4 linked regions of the Kluyveromyces lactis genome follow. The protein of the gene in region 3 binds, or shares a complex with, the protein of the main gene of each other region. Links are inferred from orthologs where the notes say so. Each region holds a gene or a part of one and is shown on either strand. Other genes may lie near its edges.

Region 1 (4,981 bases), on a different chromosome or scaffold from region 3:
AAAATGTGGCAGCCGAAGAGCTAAAGCTTGGCATGGAAGATTTTTTGCTACCAGTACTTTCCCTATCAGCATCAACATTTGACGATCCTGGAGAACGTAATTGTGACATGAAGGAGTCTATAAAAGATGTCCGCGGCCGACGTGGCTGGTGATGGTTTTCCGGATTTGAAGGAATTTCGCTTTGTGAGGAAACATGAGAAGGACTCGGCATGAGAGCGCTAGGCCCTGATTCCCTTCTTGGGATATTAATGAATTGTTTATTGTTTTCATCTTCTTCGAACGCCCTTTTTGTAAGTTCCTCTCTTTCTTCTCCTTCTTCCTCTTCATCAATTGCTAGTTCTGCTCTATCTCCATGAGATTGACGCAGCTTTCTAATTTCGATGATATCGTTCTGTAACGAATTTTGAATCGAGTCAGCCCTCGATATAGTCGTAGTTTCTTTTGAACCTTGAAGTTGAGCCTTTAAATGTGATACTGGAGGAGTTTGGGTTAGATGAGTGGGTTCGTTGAAAGAATGTCTATTATTTGTATTTACCGAGGAGCTCAGATCCGTAGCACTATATGAACTGTAGCCACTAGCAACAGATGCTTGCCTTGCCTCTTTCAAGCTAGTAAAACTGTCATTTTTTTTCCAAGGTTGGTCAATGGACGATTGATCGTTGACTTCTTGGTCAGCTGTCACGTCAACAGCCATTGACTCGGTTAGGACTTTCAAGTCCCATAATAATGAATCCCGCATTAGAAGCCAAATTTTGTAGTTTGAAAAGTCCTCAAGCATGATATAAATTTCAGCGTTCTTATCACATAGAGTTATCAGTTCGATGAGGTTTTTGGTTTTTACCTGGTTTGAAGAGTTGATGCAGGAACTGTTCTCATCCTGATTGGTTTCAGCTTTATGATTCGTAGCTGATTTTTCGATATTAGCACTTTTGTCAGAAACTGGTGTTTTAAGCTCTGTGCCTTTCGATATGACTTCGTCAGAGTCGTGAGATTTCGTATATTTGATCAAATGAGTCCAAGTATTATTTTCAGATAACCCCAACTTTTCCATCAAATTCGTTTTAGAATCCACTGAGCCATGTGTGCTCGATGAATCAAGCTCTCGGCCGTTGTCTTTTGTTTCAATACTGTTATATTTATACGAAAACTTCAATTCCCGTGCTAAAAACTTGAAAACTTCAGTTGGAGATGACTTTAATTCTAATAAAGCTGCACTTTCGACCTTTCTGTTAAATTCTGCGAGCCTAGTGTTCCGTATTGTGTTCAAAATATGCGGAAAGTCTAATCCTATCAAATATGGAGATTGTAGAAAGGAATCATTAACCGCATGTAATGCCGATTCCGATCCTGACACGATTGAGTTATGATGAGGGGACGAATACGGATTGGTCCACGGCGAGCTGTTAACCGAAGGCGAAAATTTGCTGTTAACGGATTGTGCATGCTTTGACATAGTTGACCTTTCACCTAATACGTTGCCCTGGTGAAGTTGAGACATGCCAAGTGTCGGGTTTTTTGAGAAACTTGCGGCACTGCTACTTGTGTTGCTTGTAATGTTAGGATTATTTCCTCCAGTAAAACTGTTAGCAGTTGCACTACTCATTCTGTGTGTGAAAGGCATCTTGCGATTCTCTCCACTACCTGGTGTCAAAACTGTCTCTTCTTGAGACAAATACCCACCTGGTTTTTGGTCCAAAAACAGAATACCATCGCCATCCAAATCTCTCCATTTTATTGTGTTTTTCGGCAAATTATCAAGTACAGTCGGTTCATGAGAGATATCCCACCCAGTAACGGTATTTTGCTTGTCTATATTGAATATCGTGTCGTCATCCCACCAGACAAAACCAACAGAAGGTGCACTGGAAGCAATAACGTTTTTAGGAATATATTTTCTTGCTAGCGAATAAACAGATACATCCGAATCTTCGCCCATGGATGAAGTCCCAATCAATGAATTGAATACATTCGTCTCATATTTTGGACGAAACTTAAGTTTATTCATGGAACGAGCGGTATTTATTGTGAGCTCAGGAAATGCAAGGGTGTTGGATAGCCCCAAGGGGTATGATGATGATAAATTATGCGTTGCTGGATTACTTGAATTGAGGTTGGTACTACTAATGTTACCAACTTGATTAGATTTGTCGCCTACATACCACAAGCAACATTTTCCGTCTCTTCCACCACTAATAATGTAGTCCTGATGCGGATGCCAATTCAAACATAAGGCGGGACCAGAATGTGCATTAATCTTTTTTTCAGCTTGGTTTGGTTGTCTCAAATCAAACTTCAATAATAATCCAGAGTCATGCACACTGGCAAATTTGAAATGTCTGTTTGAAAGACCATTGGTATCATTAGAAAACTCGTAAGAAGGCATCCATTTTACGTCTCTAATGGAATCAGACCCGGTGTTGATACTTACATCACTCCTAGTGGTGGAGATTTTAGGAGATCTCAAATCCCAAATCTTTATGCATCCATCTTGTCCACCGCTAATTAATAAGCTTGTCTGCACCATATTGAAATCCACACTATTGATAGATCTTGTATGTTCTGAGAGAGATGTTACAACTGGATTGTCTATCGCTGATGTCTTATTAATATCGTAAATCGCAACAGACGTTGAAGTACCACAAATTGCTACATAGTTTTTGTGATTGTAAAAGCCAGCTTTAACATCAGATATGGTTGAAATTTTTTTTGTTGTTCTCCGTAGTGTCGATGAAGTGTTCTTCGTGATCCCAGTATTTGTCTTCGCTGTCTGTAAGAAATCATGTACATTAGTTATCGTCTTAGAATCTTCATCGAAAGTGTAAATACCTAAATGGCTTTTTCCTGCTATTATCAAGGATCTGCTCTCCGGTGAATTGATTTTATCTATACTTGAGACTTCCTTTCCGATACTCAGAGAGTATTTAGCGCCGTGGAAAGTTCTACGTTTGTCAAATGAACTTTCAGAAGGTCTCCATCTTGCATTTGATTCTTCTTCATTAAGAGAGCTCTCTGGTCCAACATTTCCCGTACCATCAAAACTGAAGGGAGTGCGGCTATCTGGTTTATACTTAGGTGATATCCTAAAAGGTGAAGTTCCAAAACCTGTGTTGTACTGTCGATGAAAAGAGTATCGTGAACTTGACGACTGATATTTCAGAGAGGGAGGATTTTCTGGTTGCTGCCCTTGAGAAGACGAAGTAGCTCTGTTTGAACCTCTTTTAAACATCGTTGAGCAACAATACTCAGTGCTCTCGATCACCGGTTTATTTGGCTTACAACCAATTGCTGGATTTTTGAATCATAGTATGTGAGTGCTTTCATATTTTCAATTACATATTGCCATCTCTTCCTTTTTTTCTTGTTGAGTAAATATATGAGGAATCAGGAATCATCTTCGGTGATTGATAAGTGAGAGCCCGATAAAACAACACAAGAGTAAATAGAAGTATTAAGATATCACAGGGCTGGGAGACAGAAATGCCTTGTTATTAAAATTCTTCTGAAATAATTACAAATTTAATGCCATTGAGACACTTGTAAAATGATACGTAATGAGAAAGTTAATAGGTTTTACACAGTGAAATTATATGAAGGAGAGCGATTCAAGCGCACACTCGAACAGAGAAATCGGGAGGCTTCAGTAGATTATGTGAACAGTTGAGCTCATTGTAAATTTCTTTGTTTGTAGAAGTATACCTGTATGGTCCATTGCCTATTGCTTGTCAATAGAATACAATGCGTCAACCTGTTCAGGAGTTTTGTTCTTAGTTTCCTTCAATAAGAAAGTGAAGAACCAGAATGAGACAAATAGACAACCAGCAAAAACGAACCCAAACTTGAAGCCTATCTTATCAGTGACATATGGTGTGCATAAAGAAATGAAGAAGTTGCAAAGCCAATTGATTGAGGTACACACTGCCATGGATATCGCTTTTGTCCTGCTTGGAAACAACTCCGAAATGACGACAAAGGACACAGGTCCCGATGTGCATGCAAAGAACATGATGTAAACACACGTGAAGGTAACCATAATCGCACCAGAGTTTTGAGGCGACTTATTAAGTGCGAACGATCCGACTGACGCATACACGGACATACAGGTAAACATACCCGCGGAACCAAGAATTAAGCATGCTTTTCTGCCTAACTTTTCAACTAAATAAATACCGAAAAAGGTAGATATGAAGTTGACAGAAGACAATAAAATCGACGTTAAGTATGGGTCTTCAATTCCCACAGAGTTGAAAAGTGTTGTACCATAATAGAAGAAGTAATTTGCACCGGATAGCTGTTGAAACGCCATCACCATAATACCAATAAATAGTCTAAAACCTAATCTTGGTTGACCGAGTATGAATTCAAACCTGCTGTTCTTCATATCATTGTGAGTAGATACCTCCGCGTCAGCTGATTCCATCATCTTCCTAATATGACTATCCACAATTGGATCATCTACGTCCAAATTGTTCATATGGGCAAAAGCTGCCTTAGCTTTGAGAGCGCTTCCTAACCTCTTGGTAAGAAAAACTGGTGATTCAGGCATAAAATGAACACCTAGCGCGACGATAGCGGCCCAGACGTTTCCTAATCCTACAGGGATCTTCCATGTGGCATTATCTGTTTCGTGTAAAGTGGATCTGCAACAATAGTTGATGACATTTCCGAGCAAAATTCCAAGAGTGATCATTAACTGGTAGAGCACAACCATGGCACCACGAATGTTGATGGGAGCAGATTCGGCTATAAACATTGGTATCATCACCGCAGTAGCACCAACACCAAGTCCTGAAATGAACCTTGCGAAGAAGAAATACCACCAAGAGGAGCCACATGTCCAGCCAATCAATGTTCCCAACGAATAGATAGTGATTGCAGCATAAATACCTGGTTTTCTTCCATTAATATCAGCAATCTTCACTAGAAATAATCCACCAAGTGCGCAACTGATATTGAAAATGGAAACGATTAATCCAATAAGAAG
Region 2 (4,858 bases), on a different chromosome or scaffold from region 3:
ATGCGAATGACGGTGGGCAATGATGGAAAAGATGGCTTTAAGTTCCATCGCTGAACCACGGTCCATCCTATAACTCGATGAATATGCTCGGGGAAGTTTTCCAAGTATGGTACTGCGTTGCTAGTATCATTATTTTGTGGATGCGTAATGATTCATTCTGAAAGCAACGTTCAGCCGCTTGATATCTGCATATGAGATATTTGTATGTACTAATAGTGGGAGAAATGAGTTTTTGGCGAGGTTAAGGATTAAAGAGATTATATACGCTGAATAACAAGTTTAATGATTTATCCTAGAGCGTTTAGGTCCGAAATATTGGTAGAGTGTTTCATTGATGGCATAAACACGAACACCCAGGAACAGGACAAATTGAATGTCTTTCAAACCATTCCTCTGCATGACCGGCATGCATACCATGATTACACTTGAGACAGAAACTGAACCATTCGTTCATTTTCAAACGCTTTCTTTCCTTGACCTCGTTAATTTTCGCGTCGTCATCGATTCGTACTTCACATGAGTTGGTGGTGCCATTGATGACTATGGGGAGATTTGAAGTACCCAATGGCAAGAGACAAATAGCACATCTTGGGAAAGGCGTGCCACAATGTGGACATGAATGTTTCTGTTGGGGGACATCACCGTTTGTATTATTGAGGCCGAATTTCTTTCCTGCATTTAAGTTTTGATTAGCATGTCTTGGTAGGGATGCATTAGAAGACACATCAATGGGTCTGTTGATATTCTTCTTACATTTGGAACATTGTAAATACATTTGACGAGGTTTTAACTTCGCTGTAATTCGACCATCACTAGTCCTAGATAATTTTGTCTTGAGCACATCGAACTTGGCCCTCATAGTGAAAAATTCCCAGGAATTTAACATATGGCGATATGTTTCAACCCATTCATCAACTCTTGGGTCCATGAAGTATCTTGGGGAGCCGAAAACTGAAATTAGTGCAGCAGTTTGAATATCACTAGTCTTTCCAACGTACGATTGTAGAAGATCAATACCATTAGGCGTTATACCAGTCAAGATCAATCCTTCTAGTTCACCATTTTCAATAACAGTAGTAGCAGTTTTTTCTAAAAATCTGGTTAGATCTGTGTCATTTAGAAATCTAAGAGCAACACCAAGCCTTTCCCTTAGAGAGATAGCGCTCTCATACAGGATATCCCACCAATCATTGTCTGCAATGAATGCAAAAATGACTCTCAAATAGGGATCATCAAGCTCAGCAGCCATTTTTCTACATTGCTGTCTCCATGCATTGTCACCTGGCTTTTCACTATAAGCTTGATAACCTGCAATGGCCGCAGCAATGAGTCTAAGACGTTCTTTATTTGCAGATCCCAAAATAGATATAGCTTTCTGAACGTCACCGAAGAAGACAGCCCAGGCAGCAGCTTTCTCATAGTGATTTTGAGCTATTAGTGATTTATATTTTTCTTCGTAATCTGAAGGAGACAAATCCCAGCCACTAATAATCATACAGAGTCTTCTCTGAATGGCCTTTTTTGATGACATTTCGGAATTTAAACTGGAAACATTCCCAATTTTGTTTTTACTCTTGCTTCTCATCTTAATGATCTTCTCCAATTCCTTGTTTAACTGCTTTTCTGTGAGCATTCCTCCAGATCTATAACGATTCTGATTGGAGAGACCTTCAAGACCATTCCATATCCCTAAAACGCCTTCGTAGCCTAAATCTAAGTCTCCTGAAACCATTGTTCCGTCAGCTATGGATGCCTTCGCTATCGCCATCCATCTCCAAGTATTGCGAATGTAGATATTGTTATTGAAGTTATCGGATTTATCCATCATTTCGACAGTTTTCATTGGATCAAGACCATATCCCAGACTCGCGCGTTTACGCATTATAAAACTTATATCATTCTGTAACAGCTTCTCTGCCTCGATGTAAAACTCTTTAACGTCTTCAGAATCACTCAAGTAATCGCCGTCATCTTCCATACTTCCGGATGATTTTTTTTCATCCAGAGTTAATATCTTCAAGTCATCTCCTGTATCCAGGTCTTCGAAAGACAAGTTTTTTAGCCCGGTATCTAAATTTTCCAGCAATGAAACTTCATCCTCACCTGTTATTCTCAATTCGTTGACATCATTGTTTTGATCTGAGATAGACATTATGCTATTGTAGTTATTGATTTTCGATTGTGAAAATCCTTGTTCGACATTCATCCGATAGATAGTTCCGGATTGTCTCATGCATAGAAGACTTGTTCTGCCAGTACTCTTGGGTATATAATCGAAGGTAACAACACGATCAAAAGTCGTTTTAATGTCATTCACCGTGGAAACGAACAAGGAATCATTTAGTTCGTTATTCGACTCTAAATCTGGTACGTTGGCCAATCTCCAGCGTTTAATTGTAGTGCCTGCGTGTAATGTCGAAAACTCTCCACTTCTCAATGGAGACCATCTGAAACATGAATTCATATATTTTCTAGAAGCTGCACCATGACCAACAAGTTTGTCAAATTTAAGTAATGGTTGTGCCTCCAAAAACTCAGTGTCTTCAGAGTTACTTGCTAGCTTTCTTCTATCCCAAAAGGCCAACGTACCATCGTCAGCATATGTTGAGAATTGCCAAGGGTTAAAAGGATTTATCTTGATGTCATATGAGACACGAGTTGGATGCTGGTATATAGGATTAGGAGCTCTAAGGTCAATTTCTTTCAAGAGTTTTGAACTTGCAGCTAAGATGCTGGTATCGTCGACAAATTTCAATGACACGATACTTTCGTTCAAACAATATGAAAAAGATGGTGTGATAACATTTGATTCCGTGCTTTGGTAGTTTACATCCCACACCTGTACAGAGGCATCATGCTTATTGCGATCTAAACCCATGGCTATTAGGCCATTTGTATTTATACTCAAACTGTTGATAGTTCGCTGGTGCTTTGCTCGTACTCGTAGATCGAACGGCTCGTATGCATCGTCCGTATCCAAAATATTAAATAACCGTACAACACCGCTTTTCTCACCGACACCTACTATACCTTCATCTGTATTAGAGTAATCTAGACATGTTATATTTCCAAAGTCCTTTACTGTATTCACCTTAACGATGGACTCGTCTGTCTCCACATCCAGCTTCACTCGGTAATGAGAAACTTCATCTCTTGTAGGATTAACAGACAAAAAATCCAACCCTTCCACATTTGGCCAACAAGGAACGCGTTTAATCAAGCCCATGAAGTAATACTGGTGGATTGGCCTCGACAGATGCTTTACTACATTGAATACCGTAATATTATTTGATGCATCTTATCACTCATTCTGAAGTTATCTTGAAATAATTTACCGTATATAGTTTTATTACCCGGATATATGTACATAGGAACAGGAGAGTTAAGTACTGAGTGAACGAAAACTTGATGGATAATTCAGTCACGTAGTAGTCCTTTCAATTGTCTTTCCTGTTTGATCGATAAATCTTCAACATCAGCTAGTCCTTCGCGTGCAAGTATTTTCCGGCCCTTCCAATTAACCTCTTCTACTTGATGTGTTCTCTCATCTATATCGAAATCGTCATGTAATAAAGTATGTACATCTAACTCATCAATCTTAGATAAAAGTTTGTTAAGATCGTTGATGAGCTTAGATCCCATTATTACCAGTGATCTCGGTGACCTCTCATTGGATGTTATTTTCACTATATTTCCAACAAATTCATCCTTGAATTCTTGGACAGATAAGTATTCATCATTTTCAAGCCTGGAGCTAATGTAAGGTATGACCTTGAAATTTGAAGATGATTCGAGGTCTGCAAAAGATTTAAAAGATAAAGTCTTTGTGAGATTGTTCCACACAACATCCTTCAATATATACCTTATCGGATGGAACGCAATGTCGTTTATGATCCTTTGGTTTCTTACCCTTTCAACATTACATTCTTGTTTAGCCACCAAAGATGATGCAAGACCTTCCAATGAATTGAGGTCTCTCAAAAGAACTTCTGAGAATACGATTCTGTCATTTAGCTCTTCGGTATCTAGAGTATTCAAAGAAGATGGGCTGAACTTTCTTACCAAAGGAGCGCCTCTTTTGAGTTCTCTTTTCATTGTCCAGTACTTGCATATATCCAACGAAATTTGCTCGGAATTTGGAACATGAAATCTGTTTAAAACTCTCATTGTAATATCTGCGAAGGCTTGAGGTGCAATTAAAGTTCCCCTACTGGTTTTCCATTTATTCTTAATGGTTTTCTTGGCAGATTGCTTGTTTTCTTCCACGGCACTGTCTTGTAGCACCTTGTGATGATTAATGTGATTAAAATAATCCCTAGTTTTACGAATTCCGTCTTCACAGCTACTCCAGCCGTTAGGAGAATGTTTGTGACAAAAACTTTCCAGGAAAGCACCTGTGGAAAAGTTTTTTGAGGCAGCCTCTTGAACTGTACATCCATTGAAGTTCATGTATAATCCAGCTCTTTTAGCGCACGTAGTGTGATACGCTGCAAAACAGTTCTTATTCGAGCATTGGATGCAAGCACCGACCTCTTGTTTGCAAATATAACATGTGAGCTTCCATCGACTTTTCGGGATATTCTCTATTCCTCCAATCGGCTCCATATAGTGTAGATTTCCGAAATAAAGCTCTGGTATCCAAATTCCACATAACACATGGCCCCACGATCCGTTATCCGTTTGTTTGAAAGCTCCAGTGGTACTGGGACAAAAGAGACACTCGAGCTTTCTATTTTTGGATATCATGCATCTTCGGCAAAGCCACTGACCTTCTGGAATGAAAACTACACCATAGCATTCCTGATGTACGGCGATATCGCAACCATCGCAAAATACTATCGCATTCGAATTATCACAT
Region 3 (4,996 bases):
ATCGAGGTTCCCCTAAATTTTGTTTGCCAGCTAGACATAGCACTGGATTCTTATACTGTCTAAAGCTCACCACGGGCCTGGAGAAACCGTTAAAGGATGCCCCCACAAAGTTATAGGGTAGAACTATGAAAGTGATGGGGTTAGGTTTTTGAAAAGAAATGAAATTAGAACTTATATAAGGGGATGGATTTTAGTATATTTTCCAATTCTCTTGTTGAGATCGTAATAATTGTCGTTCTTCCAATCACATTTAGTTACATAAATCACCATCAGCTATCATACTGAATAACAAGCAATCAAGCTAAAAAGAATATCAATATTAATTAAAAAATGTCCATTCCTGAAACTCAAAAGGGTGTTATCTTTTACGAAAACGGTGGTGAATTGCAATACAAGGACATTCCAGTTCCAAAGCCAAAGGCCAACGAACTTTTGATCAACGTCAAGTACTCCGGTGTCTGTCACACCGATTTGCACGCATGGAAGGGTGACTGGCCTTTGCCAACCAAATTGCCATTAGTTGGTGGTCACGAAGGTGCTGGTGTCGTTGTTGCTATGGGTGAAAATGTCAAGGGCTGGAACATTGGTGACTTTGCTGGTATCAAATGGTTGAACGGTTCTTGTATGTCCTGTGAATACTGTGAATTGTCCAATGAATCCAACTGTCCCGATGCTGACTTGTCTGGTTACACCCACGATGGTTCTTTCCAACAATATGCTACCGCTGATGCCGTTCAAGCTGCTAGAATTCCAAAGGGTACCGATTTGGCTGAAGTTGCTCCAATTCTATGTGCCGGTGTTACCGTTTACAAGGCTCTAAAATCTGCTGACTTGAAGGCCGGTGACTGGGTTGCCATTTCCGGTGCCTGTGGTGGTCTAGGTTCTTTGGCTATCCAATACGCCAAGGCTATGGGTTACAGAGTCTTGGGTATTGATACCGGTGCTGAAAAGGCTAAGTTGTTCAAGGAGCTAGGTGGTGAATACTTCGTCGATTATGCCGTCTCTAAGGATTTGATTAAAGAAATTGTTGACGCTACTAACGGTGGTGCCCACGGTGTCATTAACGTCTCTGTCTCCGAATTTGCTATAGAACAATCCACCAATTACGTTAGATCAAACGGTACCGTTGTATTGGTCGGTCTACCAAGGGACGCCAAATGTAAGTCTGATGTCTTTACACAAGTTGTCAAATCGGTCTCCATTGTTGGTTCTTACGTCGGTAACAGAGCTGACACCAGAGAAGCTCTAGATTTCTTCGCAAGAGGTTTAGTGCATGCTCCAATTAAGATAGTCGGATTATCTGAATTGGCAGATGTTTATGACAAGATGGTCAAGGGTGAAATCGTTGGTAGATACGTTGTCGACACCTCAAAATAATTTTACTTCAATATGGTTCGATAATGAATCCGGTTTTCTTCTCTCGCTCTGAATCCCTTCATACATAATTGATTTCAATAGCACTATATTTTACGTTTAATGAAACTTTCAAGAATAATAGTAGTAACATCAGGACCTTTTGAGATGTTCTAGTATCGATTACGCGATCCTACTTTCTTAGCAGACAATATTTTAATCTCTGTTTGTTCTTATCTAATTTTGAAAGTTAAAACTGCAGGAACATACACCACACGACAAATTAAAAGCCCTCAAATACATTCAGCAACGTTTGAGTTTTACTGTTCCAAAAACTTAAGCATATACGACACCCCGATATTAACAAACCAAAGGAGATTTCGTAGTGTCTACTTGTGCTGTCTCTCCAGTCATATATAGTTTCCCTTATTATTATAGAAATATCTACACATGAAAAATATGAAAATACGATAGTCATTTTACTTGATTAACTGATAAAACACCTAATATACAAAAGTACTGGGGTATAACTGCTAATTCGAAAGAATCTTTCCCTCAATCTAAGAGTTCAGCAGTCTATGAAGCTCCAAGAGATAGGAATAGCTCAATGTCCACGAATTTACCGAATTCCTGCTTAGTACAAATCGCATTAACTGTTTCAACTCATTCGGGTCCACAATTAATTTATCATTATCCACCAAGCAACTATGCTACTGCGACCAATTCGAAGAAGACGCATCACCCAGATATCAAGAAAAGATACGAGTATACGGACTCTGAAAACAATTCGTCTTCAGATGACTACTCTTCAGGTTTGAGTGATAGCGAGTTGTCGACTGACTATGCAGATTGTTCATCTGATGCATCAGAATCATCGTTAGACTCCCTTCCACAATCAAATCATGAGGATACTGTAAACAGCAGTACAAACAATACATTTATCAATAATGGTCTACGATCTCGTCAATCTCAGATTAGTGCGAATAAACTCTTTCAAGTGCTAAATCAGAATAATAACAATGTTGCAATCAATGGCGAAAACTCGTTGAGGGAATCGTTGCACTCGATTAGAACATCGACTAATATGTCTAGTACGACTGATCCGAGACCAGAAGATGAATTGGATGCAGTAGATGAAGAGTTGAAAATCTTGGTAGACGATTTGCTAGATGGTTCAATATTTCAGCAGGATACATTTCAGGATATCTCAAAAGTACTAAATTTCAATACAGAATTTGTAGCTGAACTCTGTTCTCCAAGAAAGGAGATGTGTAACACCAGATTTGAATTCACTGTGGATGACTTATGTTTCTTAGGGTTGCCAATTCACGCGGATCACAAAGGAAGATGGAAGAAATCAAAGAAGAGAAAGCAAGCTTCCAAACGTTCGGCTAGAAGTAGCACTGCACGAAACAGTATTAGTAGAAATAGTGTTGGTCGAAATAGTATTGGTCGAAACAGATCTAAAACAGAGAGTCAAGGACACATTAATGATGTTGAAGAACCTGCAGATGATGAGAATAGTGATTATGAACCATCCAAATCAGAAATGCTTAATGAAATGTACTGTGTGCCTGATGCGGAAAATGATGAATTCGAAAGTTTGCAGCAGAGTATAAACATGTTCCAGGTCTGCTTCATCATGAACCCAAAGATCATAGAATATAATGAAAGAGTCGATGATATGTATCATTACGTGGTGACTAGATTATCATTGATTTTAAGGTACATACAAGGAAAAACCGGTTATGTCACTAGGGAATGCGTGAAAATTATGAAGTGTAAGGACGAAGTTTCTAAACACTCTCGATATTATGAGTCTTTAAAATCTCCCTGGTCTAAAGGAAAATATATGTATGAAAGAATTCTTTACGAATCGTCACTAGCTAGAGCGTTAACAAAATGTTTCAATTGCATCCATAACAATGAAATTGCTAATCTTGAAATTGATGGTGATAAAATTGTTTCCTTGCAGATTCCAATCAAAAATGAATTTTCCATTCTTCCAAATTTAAAAGAAGATGCTGTTCTTCGTGGATCTTTCTTATCCTCAATACTAAACGAAAGTTTTATTGGTAGAAGCACTAGCTTGACAAACGAAGATTCAGATAATTTGTATGCCAACCACGACAGGCTTCTAGATTATGGATTGCTTTTGCTCGATGAACCTGAAAATATTATAAAAGGGCTTGAAAACGCTTCCTTTGATAACGGCGTTACTGATTTACTTTTGATCAACCTTGTAAGACAGTTGAAGCCCACTATAAGGCTTGGTCAATATAAATTATTAATTAAAGAGCTAATCGATTCTAATGATTCCTCATATGATGATCAATTCTGTGAAACTACTTTAAAGTCGTTATGTCTACATTTAATATACTGGCGTCACGCCCGTTTGATACTGCCAATATCATCGAGAAACACATATATAGTTTCTCCATTGGCGCCAATCTCAGGATTTTCAACTGATGACTTCAAACATGGCGAATACGACACCTTAATAAGACAACAAGAAGTTCCTGTGAATAACAACGATGAACCGTCGTTGATATACCAAAACAAGAAGGTATTCAATGAAAAATTTCCCTCCTTACCTTCTTTGCCATCGTTCCTTCAACTTATGTCAACCCAGAAACCCAGACCTTTCGGGCATATCATACCATCCAATGAACATAAATCTATGTATTTGAATGCCCTGGCATGGCTCATGAGGTACGGATACCTCACTCAATTATTGACGTTTGTGTATGTACGTGTGGACAAGCGCATTAAAATAGCTGTCGATGAGGATCTAGAAAAGGATAACTTAAGATCGAACAAACACGAAAAGTCCGGTAATTTTGTTACTGGAGGTGAAAATTATAACTCCAGTGAGTTTGATGATTTGGAGATGATCAACGATAATGATTTCACTATAATTCTTGAACCAGAACGTAATACTGCATTAGAAAAGAGATGGTTGTACAAATGTGCTGAGGCATTACCTACTGATCTTCAAACGCTATTTAGACAAGTGGTGAAATACTTTAATGGGAAGGTTTCTTTGGAGTACATTATGATTAAGGAAGGTATTCCTAAAAATGAGATAAAAAGATTGCTTCAGGCCTTAGGTAAGTACATCGTTGAAGTAAAACACTGGTAAATGCCCTATCCCCTTACATTGTTATTCTTCTAATCGATTCTACGCACAGGATTTTGTCAATGCATAATAATTAAGTACTATATAATAAGCCATTTTTGGAGTTGCATAACTTTATGTCATAACTAATCAATTCACTGTGTTTTATATTTTTTGTTTTGCATGTTGTAACCATAACAGTTTGTAATTCCGGAGAAGCTCGAACAGAAAACATATCTATATATATATGCCATGCATGTAAAGTTTAAGATGATATCTTAAGTTTATTTATCTAAAAGAGAAGGACATGTACAAATGAAACGCCACTGGGGAACATATTATAAGACGGTGCCGAGTATATGCCCTGTGGTTGACTAAAAAGAAGGTGAAAAAGAGTTAATCACTAGGAGGGCCTAAGATAGTGCAATGATTACGCTAAAAAAAAGTAGAAAGAAAATGACATATTCAATAGTCGAGGTCTGCTTTATCATGTCCAGAGACAGAATTATCCAAATAGTTCATACC
Region 4 (5,145 bases), about 150 kb from region 3:
GTTGAGTGTGTCCGTGGTTAGATTCAATCCACCTATTCGATACACCTTTGTAAATATCCAATCCCGAATCTTGTTCGATCCCATGCAAGTATTCAGGTTCTGTGTTTAAATTTACATTAAACTTCAACAACTCGGCCCTATCCATAGGCAACCCCCATATATAAAGTATCTCTGCATATTGCGTTCTATATTGTCTGAACTTGGTTTCACATTTCGGATCTACCAACGAAGGTTCCAGACCTTGGTAGGCAAGATCCAAAACATCGTCATGAATTAGTTTGATCTTGATATCGGGAATTGTCGCTTCAGTTTCTACATACCCATTGTTCATATTATTATGGGATTTCCCGTTCTTGTTTCCGTTAGCATGATGATTTTGATGGAAATAATCATCAGATATGATAGAAGAGCCATCGTTCAATGAGGCTTGATTGGTGCCATATCTCATTCTCGCATTTTGTGTACCTGTGTCATTAGAGTAGAACGATCCGTGAGTGGAATGAACATGTGGCGATGGCTCGTATTCATTGTTATAAAATGTAATGATGTTTTCTGATAAAGTAGGCGGAACTAGTTTATAATTTGTTTTCTGATCTGGCCTTCCAAGCGTAGCAAAGATGCAGCTCATCATTGCAAGCATTTGAAGATTTTGGCACTTCTCAAAATACTCGAATAGTCTTTTCACTAAAAGTTTACCACCCAATGAATGCTGGTCCCAATCATAATTGTAGAAATCGTTATCTCCTCTTCCTATTAAAACATTAGAAATCATTCTCCAGCATTGCGCGATATCTTCATAGCCGTAACTTTCCGCAATGCCTGCATTGTACTTCGCAACAAATTCAGGAGTTTCCCGAAATAAAATATACTGTTCAGCTAGCTCTTTTTTGTCGGGAATCAAACTTTTAAAATCTTGAACGACTATAGATGACTTGCTTTTTTTATTTGAATCGGTGGTTTTTCCGGATACACTCGTAGTAGATTTCGTCTCATCACGGAATATGCGTGGCATCATTGGCATCCTAGTCCTTAGTGTGAGATCATTTTTCAATATATCATCCAAGAACTCAGCATAGCTATCATCACTATCATCTGAATCCGAATCTGATGATTGATTTAGTGATTCACTGGCATGTTGTGAGTTTATGGATAGCGCTTCTCTATAAGTTTTTGGCTTTCTTTGTTTTCCCGATACGTTATCCTTCAAAGTTTGTGACGCACTCTGGACATTTTTTGATCTCACAAAACCTCCAATACCAGTTCTACCAACATTGATTATGGCGTGTTGCTTTTTTTCAGTTTTATTCTCAGCTCTAAAGAAGCAAACAAGGGTTCCTTGAGCGGTCCAAACTGCTCCACAACCGTTGGGGACAGGTGTGCTATCAAATTTTGGTTCTGGTGTACTAGAATACAATTGCAAAGAACCATCCCCGACAGCGAATTCAACATCTGATACAGAAGAAATCTCTGTAGGAGCATCGCTATGATCATCAGATGAACCCAAAGATGATCTATCTAAAGAAGTTACATCTTCGAAATCAAAGCTGAAAATTTTATTGTCGTCCTCCATGTCGGAAATATCCAAGTTAACTTCTTCTCCAAGTAGGTACTGTAAACACGGCTCAAGGCAATATCGATTTGCATCGACATATTTTTTGCTGATTTCTCTTAGTCGTTCCATTATCTGAGTTTTTTGATGTTCTTTTAATTCCCTGTTCTCTTCAATCTTGAACGCAGGTTCATTTCCTTTCATGGGGTAGTTTGGCGGGAAGTTAATAATAATACGCATGAAAATGTATTTTTCTGGATCTTCTTCCACCCATGGACCATTTAAAGTAATAATTAACTCTCCTGTCGAAACCGAAATTTTTTCAAAAACAATTCTAGGGAACTTGTGCCCAACGGAAGTGACTTCTTCTCCAAGATTGTTTAAACTCACCTCTTCAAATAGATCATGCGGTGAATCTTCGTTATGCATTCTCACACCCGAAATCCATTGTAGTTGATCTATATTGTTGTCAGCTTTCCATTGGCGTAGTCCGGATTTTGTAACAAAGGTTTCCTTCGGAATTTCTATATTTGTGTACCGGGGATCTACTATATTATTTTCAGGTTCTGATCTAAAAGTGTCGTAATCATAATCTGGTAGCTTCTCCGGCAGCTCTTTGCCACATTCGTAGTGAACTTTGTCGTAAACCATATCGGGTACTGGCCATAGTCTTAAATCGCAATCTTTGGACCAAGTAACCAATTGGAATTCTCTGTCATCAATGATGGTATTTTGACTGTGCCTCGATCTCCATAAGAAGTCCGTGACTCTATCTGTATGCCCCTTGAAAACGTACGTTGGCTGTAGTTTGGTAGTCCTTGACTCAGAATTGCCTGAGTCATGAAAAGAGTTCGCCAAATATACAGAATTATTTCCTCCTATCATCGGCATGATGCAATATCCGTCCCCAAACGGGAGATATCGTCCTCTCCACACAGGAAACTCTGTGGTAATTGTCATCTGTAGTTCATCTTCAACTTTATTATAATCCCAGAACTTTACCGTTCCGTCATTCCCACTTGACATGATTTCGGTTTCGTTGAATGGATTGAAGTCGATGCTATTAACGCTTCCGCTATGACCTTCTAATACAGATAACGGAGATGTACCCTTTCTTACATCCCAAACATACACGATATTCGAGTGCGAGGTTGCTAATACATTGGAATTTTTGTGATTCCATTTGACTTGTGCAGCACCAGATCTCCAGTTACTGGTTCTAAAATAAGGCTTCTTGGGGCTTCTCATATCCCAAGCCAGGGCGTAAGTATCAATTGAACTAGTAGCTAGGATTTCTGGTTGCAACGGGTGGAAATTTATATCTGTAATGGCTCTGAAATGGCCATGTAATACATGCTCCACTGCTTTAGAAGAGCTTCTAGATAGATTCCATACAATTGCTTTTTGATTCGACGTAGATATAACCCAGTGATGCTTGGCCGGATGCGGGCACCACTGCACGTCAGCAACCTCCCAAGACGTGAGATGGTGTAACCATCGAGGCTCTGAGAAAGGATCATCCAAGTCTACCACATAAAGGCCCTTTCGACTGGCTAATACGACATCTCTACCAGATGGATTGATAGAAACAGCATTAAATCCACCATCAACCCGAAGAGAAAGTGATTTCCCGAAGGTTGGTGATGAGTAAGGACCTTCCCCTACGTATTCAGACATTCAATCTCAAAGTGTGGCTTATATCGAAACCTCTAAAAAACACGAACCTTACTAGAATTCAATATACGAATGATGTTTCCTATTGAATTGTGCTTTGTTTCATTATATATTCATGATTCATTTTTTCCTATCAACAGTTAATAATGCTTTAAGGAATATTAACAAATAGTGGATTAGACATACATAAAAAGGGGAGTTAGAAAGCTATTATTAATCATTCGTGACGTTATTTGAAGTTTAAATGTATCTAATGTTTTATCTATTCTTGGGTAACTGCATCAAAGATAGCTTTAAATGGTGGTTTTGCACCTGTCCATTTAGAAAATTGTTCCACACCTTGATGAACCAACATTTCAGCGCCCGGAACGATATTCCAGTTGAACTTATCACGTGCGAGCTTCATGATAGGGGTCACTGAAGGCTTATATGCGGCATCTAACAAGGTTGGTTTGAAGGAGCTATTTGTACCTTTTGCCAAAAGTCTTTCCAATTTGTTTAGTAACTCTGGATCTAAAGGCTTATCAGCTGGAACACAAGAAACAGCAACAGAAACTTGTTCCTTAATTGACTCTGTTTGTTCGGCAGATTCGACGACAACAATCTTATATTCTTCGGAAAATTCGGATTTCAGCTTTTGTAGTTTCTCCGTGGTTCTGTTGAGCATATAAATGGTGTCACAACCAATTTGTTTCAAAGCGTATATAGCAGCTCTTGAAGTACCACCAGCACCGATAATCAGACCTGCAGAACCACTAACAGAACTAGGAACACCATTTGAAACCAAAGAGTTTTTGATACCTAACCAATCAGTATTGTCACCCCTGAATTTGTTCTTTCCTAAAGGAATAACAGTGTTTACAGCGCCAATGGTCTTTGCGGCTTCGCTCAATTCAAACATACTATCAATAATATCTAGTTTTAATGGGATGGTTACAGCTAAGCCACCGAGATCTTCTCTGGTCAAAAGTTCTTTCTTAACTACTTCGATATCTTCAGTTTCGAATTTATCAAAATGATGAGGTAAGCCTAGTAGCTCATACCCAGTGTTGTGCAAGATCGGAGATCTGGAATGTCCAATTGGAGAACCAATAACAAAGAACTTCTTGGCTGGTAATCCACCGATTTGGTGATACAATTGGTTGATTTCAGCTAGTGTCAATTGACCAGGGGCAGCGGCGGATGGTAGTAACTTGGAGGTAACAGGTGTCAAAATATTATTTAGCACCCTGGATAGCTTACCTGTTTCAGTCATATTGATAGCAATTAGTGGCTTCAAAGTATGAGTGGACCTGAATTTTTCCAAAGCCAAATTGTCATCGAAGCTTACTGCTGTGCCAACGAACTTCACAATGTCCACGTCTAAAGAAAGAGCTTGGTTATATCTATTTTCCCATTCAGCATCATCCCATGGGAATTTAGCTGCAAAATCATGATGGGAGCCAATAATCTTTGTGTTTGATTTCTTGTTCAAAACATTGTAGAGTATGTTGTTAGGCAATGTCAACTCTAAATCGATGTATTCAACAGCGTTCTTCAGAGCGACCTTCAACAATGATTCAAGTAAATCATAATCATCATCTTGGAATTTCCCTCCTTGGCTAACTGTTCTCACAGTGAAAACAATAGGTAGCGATTTGGTTGCAGCTCTTAACAAGGAGATTTGTTTGGTGACAAAGTCTGAAGAAAAGGATGATAAATGATCAACTCTTAGTTCTACTGCTTCACAACCATAGGTTATTTCATCCAATTTTGACAAATGATCCGATAGGTCTTCGAAAGTCAAACAGACGAAAGCTGATCTCCTGGAAGGTACAGGAATCTTTTCAGCGCCAAGTACACGACGAATGAAGTTGCTGAACACATGTCTTAAATTCCTGAATTCAATTTCATTGGAGCAATGAGCCGCAAAGAAGGTAAAG

The links. Proteins that work in one complex are often made in the same cells at the same time.
Region 1: NPR3 (region 3) and RTC1 share a complex: the UniProt entries of both Saccharomyces cerevisiae proteins name them as parts of the SEA complex. The link is inferred for Kluyveromyces lactis from reciprocal best matches to the Saccharomyces cerevisiae genes NPR3 and RTC1.
Region 2: NPR3 (region 3) and SEA4 share a complex: the UniProt entries of both Saccharomyces cerevisiae proteins name them as parts of the SEA complex. The link is inferred for Kluyveromyces lactis from reciprocal best matches to the Saccharomyces cerevisiae genes NPR3 and SEA4.
Region 4: the proteins of NPR3 (region 3) and MTC5 are in contact, whole or in part, in a cryo-EM structure (PDB 8ADL), measured with the Saccharomyces cerevisiae proteins. The link is inferred for Kluyveromyces lactis from reciprocal best matches to the Saccharomyces cerevisiae genes NPR3 and MTC5. Residues at the interface, in NP_011840.1 of Saccharomyces cerevisiae: Gln1067, Tyr1070, Thr1071, Ile1072, Ile1073, Leu1074, Glu1075, Glu1077, Arg1078, Ala1079, Thr1080, Ala1081, Glu1083, Lys1084, Arg1085, Tyr1088; in NP_010413.3 of Saccharomyces cerevisiae: Leu386, Asn389, Phe390, Val391, Thr392, Ser394, Gly395, Leu396, Val445, Glu447, Thr459, Asn461, Phe474, Arg476, Glu497, Glu498, Asn499, Ser500, Asn501.

Annotation. Positions count from the first base shown.
Region 1 is NC_006041.1:1,870,472-1,875,452, reverse strand, and holds the start of RTC1 (Rtc1p), read right to left. Parts: upstream 3,227-4,981; coding exon 1-3,226. Other genes in the region: KLLA0_E20945g (sugar porter family MFS transporter), read right to left, coding at 3,713-4,981. UniProt on the Saccharomyces cerevisiae protein: Component of the SEA complex which coats the vacuolar membrane and is involved in intracellular trafficking, autophagy, response to nitrogen starvation, and amino acid biogenesis. May be involved in a process influencing telomere capping.
Region 2 is NC_006041.1:581,607-586,464, forward strand, and holds SEA4 (Sea4p), read right to left. Parts: upstream 3,227-4,858; coding exon 329-3,226; downstream 1-328. Other genes in the region: NTO1 (Nto1p), read right to left, coding at 3,418-4,858. UniProt on the Saccharomyces cerevisiae protein: Component of the SEA complex which coats the vacuolar membrane and is involved in intracellular trafficking, autophagy, response to nitrogen starvation, and amino acid biogenesis.
Region 3 is NC_006042.1:1,679,798-1,684,793, reverse strand, and holds NPR3 (Npr3p), read left to right. Parts: upstream 1-1,960; coding exon 1,961-4,495; downstream 4,496-4,996. Other genes in the region: KLLA0_F18260g (zinc-dependent alcohol dehydrogenase), read left to right, coding at 331-1,377; KLLA0_F18216g (uncharacterized protein), read right to left, coding at 4,937-4,996. UniProt on the Saccharomyces cerevisiae protein: Component of the SEA complex which coats the vacuolar membrane and is involved in intracellular trafficking, autophagy, response to nitrogen starvation, and amino acid biogenesis. Mediates inactivation of the TORC1 complex in response to amino acid starvation.
Region 4 is NC_006042.1:1,824,909-1,830,053, reverse strand, and holds the start of MTC5 (Mtc5p), read right to left. Parts: upstream 3,227-5,145; coding exon 1-3,226. Other genes in the region: ARO1 (pentafunctional protein ARO1p), read right to left, coding at 3,486-5,145. UniProt on the Saccharomyces cerevisiae protein: Component of the SEA complex which coats the vacuolar membrane and is involved in intracellular trafficking, autophagy, response to nitrogen starvation, and amino acid biogenesis. May be involved in telomere capping.